2 linked regions of the Coturnix japonica genome follow. The protein of the gene in region 1 interacts with the protein of each later gene in a biochemical or structural test. Links are inferred from orthologs where the notes say so. Each region holds a gene or a part of one and is shown on either strand. Other genes may lie near its edges. The genes, in order: RUNX1 and ELF2.

The links.
Region 2: the proteins of RUNX1 (region 1) and ELF2 form a complex in vitro, tested with the Homo sapiens proteins (2 studies listed by BioGRID and IntAct). The link is inferred for Coturnix japonica from reciprocal best matches to the Homo sapiens genes RUNX1 and ELF2.

Annotation. Positions count from the first base shown.
Region 1 is NC_029516.1:95,415,121-95,418,928, forward strand, and holds part of RUNX1 (runt-related transcription factor 1), read right to left. Parts: intron 883-3,808; coding exon 691-882; intron 1-690.
Region 2 is NC_029519.1:25,638,981-25,643,297, forward strand, and holds the start of ELF2 (ETS-related transcription factor Elf-2), read right to left. Parts: upstream 2,858-4,317; 5' UTR 2,764-2,857; intron 1-2,763. UniProt on the Homo sapiens protein: Isoform 1 transcriptionally activates the LYN and BLK promoters and acts synergistically with RUNX1 to transactivate the BLK promoter. Isoform 2 may function in repression of RUNX1-mediated transactivation.

The sequences.
Region 1 (3,808 bases):
CACTGGGAACAACTCTCACTGTAACAAGTACCATGCTCCATCCTTCCTTTGACGCATCTCACTGTAACCTGCACCTTGATATGCATTTTGCAAATTGTGTTATCAGCTGACTGTAGCGATCTGATCCTTTGCTTACTATGTTGCAACAGATTTTGGTGGCAGATTTGATCTTAGCAGTGACAGATTCAGATCCAGCGGAGGCGGATAAGTTTTCCAACTGGGTTGCTTGGTTTCACTGGCATATGTGAACCTCCATCTCAGAGGAAACTGGGCTTCAGTCATCATTTTATAAGCTTTCAATCAAATACAACCCAGTGGATAACCACCAGCCCCGGAAATAAGTTCAAACCAGCCCTCTCACATTCAGGTCTTGGCTCTAAGGTCCTTTGCCTAAAGCTTACTTTGTGACTGCCTCCCTTGAAAGGCCAAATAAAGGCCTTGACAGCACATCTGTCTCATTCAAGCACACAATTAATTGATAACTACCCATCAAGTAATACACCTATAAATATTAAAAAAGCCTGTGATAATGCATCTTTGCAAGAAAACAAAGACTTGCAAGGTGTCCATGCGTCTTGGGACAGCCAAAAAAGGGAGATGGGAACAAGGCAGGAAGTGCCTCTGAGCCCAGGAGCTCTCAGCAGGGCTGGGTGGGTGCTGAGCGAGCAGGGGAGGATTTTGGGTACTTACCCTGAATCTGACTCTGAGGCTGAGGGTTAAAAGCAGTGGTGTGGTTCAAGGAGGCTCGTGGGTTGGGTGTGGGGGCTGGGTGGTGTGGGCTGACCCTCATGGCCGTACGACGCAACTGCTCCAGTTCACTCAGGCGCTCTGAAAAGGACAAGCTCCCGGGCTTTGTCTGCTCATCTAGTTTCTGACGATGTCCTATTGTGGGAGGGGGGGGAAAAAGATCAGAAAATCTCACTGATACATGAGGTCTGTTGACTTTTCTTTTAATTTTACTTTCTAAACCCCTCATCCACTGGTGAAGTATCTGAGTGGCTATCTGAAGTTATACTGAAAATACCTCTCTGCAAGGACAGGAGAAACAAACAGTGCATTGAAACCATATCATAGGGCAGCCCATGACATGGCGTACTCTGAAGAACCAGGCCCACTGAAAACAGCAGTGCCTCCTTACTACAACTCACTCTGGGAGAAGAGGTTTTTATAGAAGAAGTAACATCTGACAGGATGAATAACAGAAGGAAACTTGTGCTGGTCCCTGTGCTAACCCTGCATCAGAGTAACTCATCTGAAATGCAACCCTAGACTGTCATAAAGTACTGTACTCAGTACTGTGGGGCTGTAAAATAACAAACCCAAATAAATCTCATTTTTGGACTCTTTAGCAATTGCTTTCTAGACAGAAATAGGCAAGAAACACCAGTAGCTGGCAGAACTGCAGCTGCAAGGTCATGATGTCTCCCTTAGCAACACTAGGAGTTTCCAAGACATGAGGTCTCACCAGACATCCAAATATAAGAAAGCAGACCCTAACATGGCAGAATAGGATGAAGCACAGTGGCACTGGCCTCAGCCATGAGGGAGGAGCAGGGCCTAGGACCAGGCCTAGGGTAGGCCTTGGAATGCTGTCCCCGTGGCACTCTGGTGCCATGACCTCACGGGGCTGCCAGGGGACAGGAAAGGAGCTGGAAAGGCCTTGCTTCCAGCATGGCATTGGGGTACATCCAGGTTTGTCTGGAAGAACAGAGATCTGTCTTGCCACAGGCAGTACTGGTTTCAATATAAGCTTTAACTAGGAGCAATGAGCAGTATGCAAGGTAATGCATTTCTAACTGCTGCCCATCAATGCTCTCTGCTCTGGGACCCTCAGTGTAATGCTGCCACAAAATGTAATGTTGCTCAGTAGCAATGTGCACAGAATACACGAAGGATACCTCACCCACTGCAGCACTTGCTTTCTGTTCAGCACGATGAAAACACAAATTTTCTATCCTCATTTGCACCTTTTTAGGAATTAACCTATCACCTTTTTCTTCTTACAGTTCACAGGAAACAAGCTGTTAGCAGAAAGACCATAAGAGGACTGTCTATGAAACACAAATTGTCCTATCAAAGATGCTTTTTGAAACAGAGAGCAAGATACTGATTGCAGCAGCAGTATGAGAAACCCAAACCCCACCTGTATTCAGTCAGTGGAATAGGATCCTCAGCTCCAGAGAGAGCACCTTCTGCTTTGGACCTTCACATGGATGCCATCAACCCTCTTTTCCCCCCAGTCTCAAATCTGCACTTTGCATTTGTCTCATGAAATCAGCTGCCCTGTGAATCTTGTTGCTTATTCTTTCCCTTTCTTTTCTACATGAAAGCATGTTGTCCTGATGTGAATATATCTCAAATGTCTAGCCTAGAGGTCAATGAATGGACATCTTCAGTTCTACTTGCTCCATTGAAGAAGGTGGTGTTATCCACAGTTTTTGCCAAATATCATATTTCACTGCCTGTCTGCTCCCGATTTTCATCGTCTTGCAATAAAAGGTTGCTTTTGGCAGCTCTCTGTGCATTTCCACCTCCTTTGCCTCTCTACCTCCTGTGCTCCTTTGGCAAGTCCTCCCTGAGCTCAAAGCATCAGCAGTGAAATGGACTGATACAAAACGTCTCCAAATAATCCACAAATTCCCATACTATTTAACATTTAAACATTTATAAACACCCAGCTTCCAATTTCGCGTATCGGTGAATAAGCAACAAAAAGCTCTGTATGTCCTTTACTCTACAGAGCACTCTTTCATGCCAACCTAAAAGCGTAATCAAGACACAAGACCATTTTATGCACTAAGGGGAAAATGTACATTCAAAAACAGTTCCCAGTAGCTGCATTTCTAAAATTAAATTTTATAACTCGTATTATGGTTCCAAATCTCAGTGGCTCGGCGTTTCTTCCTGTTGCCAGGCCCTTTGGCACAGCATGAACTGTCTCAGATTCCACACTGTGCTATAAATTATCCCAAGAGGGGAAAAAAAAATTAAAATATAAAAAGACATATTATATAGCAGCGGTTTCACTGTTTAAGAGACCCATTAGGGCTTCCAAAAAGAAAAAGGGAGGCGGTGGAGGGAGGGGAGAAAGATGAAAAAGACTTCTATGGGATATTCTGGTGGGCCAAGAGCAAGCACTTTGGTTGTCAGCAGCACGGAGCTGGATGCTGCTCCTGACACTGGACTTAAATGTGAACACATGGAGTCATACAAGATGTGTAAAATACCTCATGCATTTGGATTAGCTTAAGCTTCAGCAGTCTGACCTGAGGTCTTGCAGAGCCAAGATTTAGATCCTTCCAAATTCATACCCCCAGTGTAATTTACTCCTCATCCTGAATTCAATTCAGCCATTTTCTGCTGTTAAGTCTGCAGCCTGACCTCTTCGTACCCTGCTTTCTTCTCTCCTGGCCAGGCTGCTGCAGCTCCTGTCACAGCCCCAAGCTATCCTAAAGCCCAGCAGCCTCATGCACAGGCAAGCAGGTCCTACAGGCTACGTTCAGGCCAACCAGGCAGCAATCAGCCTTCCCCTCTGATGCACTGCATTTGTGTCTGAATTAAATTAACCAAAGGTGCAGCATCCCCCTGGGGTTACCACAGGGGGTATCCTGAACATACCTCTACAAGTCTCTTCATTGCCCATCCACCAACTAAAGCCCCAGATTTTAACTATCTGCGGTATTGACAGAGGGTGCCTCAGCTTGTGGCTTGCATGAAAACCCCACTTGTGTCATTGGAGGTCAAGGAATCAGCACCTGCAGGCTCTTCCTCGGGACAGCTCAGCTATTTATTTAGGTCTATATGTGGT
Region 2 (4,317 bases), on another chromosome or scaffold:
CCTTACAATAAGGAAAAGGGCTTTGCTGCATCATATCTAAGTCTTTTTATACATAACCTGTGGGAAAACAGAAAGAAATCTAGCTGCTCTCACCCTCAGAAACTAGAATTGCAAAATGGCCTGTGCTACATACCCAAGCACCTCCCCACAACAAATCCACTCCTATGATGCTTTCAGCAACTACCAGACAAGGTTTAAAACATTGCATGCCACAGCTGTGCTGAGCACGTAACAGCCATCCAAAACCAAAAACCTCAAGTCAATCCCTCAGTGCACAACTGCTCTCCAGTTAACAGTGAAGCAAGCACAGAGCTCAAAAGAATTAGAACATTAAAGTAGATGAGCTGGCATGACAAAGATGGCGTAGCACATCACCTCTCCTACACCAGGCTGGGCTCTAAACAAAACTCTGAGCACAGATCTGTGAGTTGGTTCAGTTTTATTTCAATTGTAAGCAACCAAAAGAAAAAGAGAACTCGGTGCTTGAAAAAAGCTGCACACACTTGTACCCACACAGAAAACAAGAAAAACACCCGGAACGCTGGGTAGCACTGATGGGAGGCAGCTGCTCCTGCAGCACTCAGAAAATGTGTAAGAGCCCTTGGAACAATGTCTCCCTTTTATTCAGTTGGCATCCAAAACCCCAAGGATAGATTTATGCGGATACCTACATAGATACAGCCGCAGGAGCAGGACCGCGGCCAGCAGCACTATCACATACCAGTGTTTTCAAGCAGGCCTTCCTTTGCTTCGGTCAGAATTGCTAAAGAAGTCGGCTTGAATGCAGAATCAGTTATGCACACAGAAATGCAGCAGCTGAGATCACTGCCGAATCCCACTAACTGCAACAAGGCTCCTGAGGGGTACAACAGCCGCTTTCACCCTGAGACCTACAGACTTCAAGAATGCTGTTCAAAAGACAAAACAAAACACATTCTGCCGACTGAAAGTTCTTTCCAAGACACTTTCCCTGACAGGAGAAATTGTGAGCTCACTGTGTTTCCTTGGAACACGGAACAAGTCTAAAATCAGAGAAGCTTCTGCAAAAGCAGGAAAAAACAACTTCTCTGTAGCTAAAGAATCACAAGGTCGGCTCGAAAAGCTGACGTGGGTCAATCTTTGCATTTCAGGAGAACAAAACAGACAGTCTGAGCTAGTTATATCACCTTATAAACTACAACAAAGGATACAGAGAAAGAACTCAGACAGGAGAGTGGTCCTGTCCTGCCACAACACGTGTCCAAGTATCAGAGATCCCATCTCGCAGGGCAGTCGCTCCACTGCTGGATGCATAGGAATTATTACACTGGATCCAGTTAACAGCATACCAACCCAGTAAGGAACTCAACTTCCATATCTATTGAACGAGAAATCTGACCATCCAAAGTTTGTTCTGGAAGCTCAGTAGCTAAAGCTGATGAGTCCCGGGACATGCGAGTTCATCATGTCATAAAAACCACTGGTACTCTGCAGAAAGCTTTGTGACTTCAGCACTCCTCTTCTGGAGCCTCCTATGTTTTACCCTATGAGCAGACTCCCTTTCCACTGGTCCCGAAACCTCATCCCTCACCTCCCTGCTTGGTACCAGACCTCCTCTCCCTGTCGTGCCAATTGTTGGCCCTTAACATCCGTTTCTACTGCCCAGCAGGCCAGAGTTCAGGAAAAATTATTCATCGCTTTACATAATAAAAGAGAAGGGATCAACGCAAAGAAAAAAGTTAAGGATGCGGGTTTAAAAACAAACCAGCACAACAGCAGAGGAAGTGGGCATGCACACAACAGGATCCATTTACAAAGGATGTTCTAAGGGCCGAAGAGATAAGAACATTCAAGTCAAGAAGTTATGGAGATAGAGTCCCTCACCAGCCTAAGTGACCGCGGAGCACAAGGATGCACAGCCTCACGCTGTGGGGCTTTCAGAGGCTGGCATTGCTGGAACCTCAGAACAGAGCCCCGCTCCCAGAACCTTTCTGAAATAACTGATAGCAACGGAGATAGGCGGAGTGCGGAGAACCCTGGCTCAGACCCACGGCACGTGGACCTGCAGCCTTGTATTTCACTTCCTCAGGATCCGGGAAGCAACGGTTCACGCAAACAACCACAGATCCAGACCTCTCTGTTCTTCGACACCCGATAAAACAGGCAGCTTTACCAAAGCCCCATACGGAGCTTTCAACGTACACTAACACATCGCTATAAAGCTTTCTCCAACACGCCAGCGTTCGCACCGCTTCAGTCCAAAGTTAGGACACAAAACGCAGTCCCCGTTCCCCCACCTTTTAGGTCACAAACAGCAGAGCCGCTCAGACGCCCTATAACCAGCAGCCCGCTCCTGGCAGCGCCGAGGATTCCCCCGGCGCAGCGCGTGGGCTGGTGCCGGAGCGGCCGAGGGCTGATGCACGCACACGGCTCCGGGCGCCCCGCACTCGAAGCACGAGCAGGACGGCGGGCACCCCGCCCCGGGCCGGGGAAAGGGGGGGCGGCCGGCCGGGATCCGCTCGGCCAGCACGCATGACAGCGAGCGACAGAGCGGCCGGCGCCGGGCTGCCATCTTCCCCGCGCCCCGTGTAAACAAGGGCTGCCCCGCCGCCCCGCAGGCCGCGCCGACGCTGACAGGCGCCGGGAGCCGCCCGCAGAGCGGGCACTGGAAACCGAAAGCGCCGCAGAGAACGGGCGCGGCGCACCGCCCGGGCTATCGCCGCCGACCCCCTGCCCTCGAGCGGCCGCCTGTCACCGCCCCGCGAACCGGCGCCACGCTCTTACCGTGCCCGCGGCGTCGAGGCCGCCTCCTTCGCTCGCCTGGGACGGCGGCGGGCGGGGCCGGGCGCCGCCCGTGCACGGCGGAGGCCGCCCCGCGGCGGCGGCGACCAGGGCGGGCGGGGCGGCTGCCGCGGCTCAACCTGCCCGGCCCCCCCGCGCCGCCTCTGCACATGCTCGAGCCGCACGGCGGGGAGCTGCGGGCATGCGCGGCCGCTCGGACCCTGCGCAGGCGCCCGCAGGAGCCGTTGCCCCGCTCAGGGTGCGCGCCGTCCCGTGCCGTGCCGTGCCACCGCCTGCCTCGGGAAAGGGCGGCTTCACATCGCCCCGCTGTACCGCCGTGCGGGGCTCTGCAGGGGCTTGTCCTGGGGGGAAACGGCCGGCCGTGTGCGGGCTCGGACAGCCAGCAGCCTCCCTGCCTTGGTCTGGGAGGTGCGGAACAGTGCGACCACCGGCACTGATAGACAGCCGGCTGTAAGTGCCCTTCGGGATACGATAACTAAAGGAAAAGCTTCACGGAAGCCACGGCGCATGGCTGAGGAGCCCGGCGTTGCCCAGCCTTGTAACAGAGCGTGTAGTGTAGCGAAACTGAAGTCTTTTCACACTCTCAGCCTGCCTAAGATTGAACAGTGCACACACTTGGATGCTGTTCAGTTGCTGGATCTACTGCTGCTTTACATCACCCACCTCTCATCAGTAGCAGGAGCCGATCCTTAACGTCAGTCCCTGGCAAATGCTGGTAGAGATAGAGGGGGTGTTGACCCCAACAAGTGCCACTTAGTATCCCTGCACGAGGCAAAGCAACAAATGTTTCCTCCAGCCCTATGCTACTTTGTACAAGAGTCAGATGTTTTTTGCAGGGATGTGGGGCCTAATTTGAGGACCCTAAGTCTGTTTCACGTCTGTATTCTCAAGCATAAATACCACATTAATGAAGGTTATGTCTGCAAAGAATACCAGAAGAACTGTCAAGTCTTGAACGCCAGGTTTGGCTCCTATCTTTCCCTAACAGCCTCAGCACCACGCAGTTTACACTGGAACTAAGTTGCTCACTACAGCAGCAGAATGAAAAGGAGCTGTACAGTTAAGCTATTGAAAATAAAACCCGGTGAATAAAAGAAGGCATTATTTATTTCTTCCTGTTCAGCTCCGGCTTTTGGGGAATGCTTTCTTTGCTCCGGGTTTTAGCATCCCTACTGCCTTTGATTGAGTGCCCTCTTCTGTTTGATTACGTGAGTGCATGTCAGCCAACGGGTAATTACTATTTATCACCAAACAAGCAAGATTCTAGATAACTAAAAGACACTGAATCTGTACATGAAACCAACGCATATCAGAAGCCCTTCTTCCTACCCCAGTAAAGCTGGAGGGGCCAACATCTCCTGCAGCTTCCCAGGAGAAGGAGTAGAGACCAGAACGAAGGAAAATCCTGTTACCTACCACACCATTCAGCAGCCATGGCTGTGGAATAAAGTTTACTTCCCTCATCCTGCACACCTGCTGTTTGCTGCAGCAGTAAGCAGGGCAACACCAGCATGCAACCAAGAAAAACCACTCCTA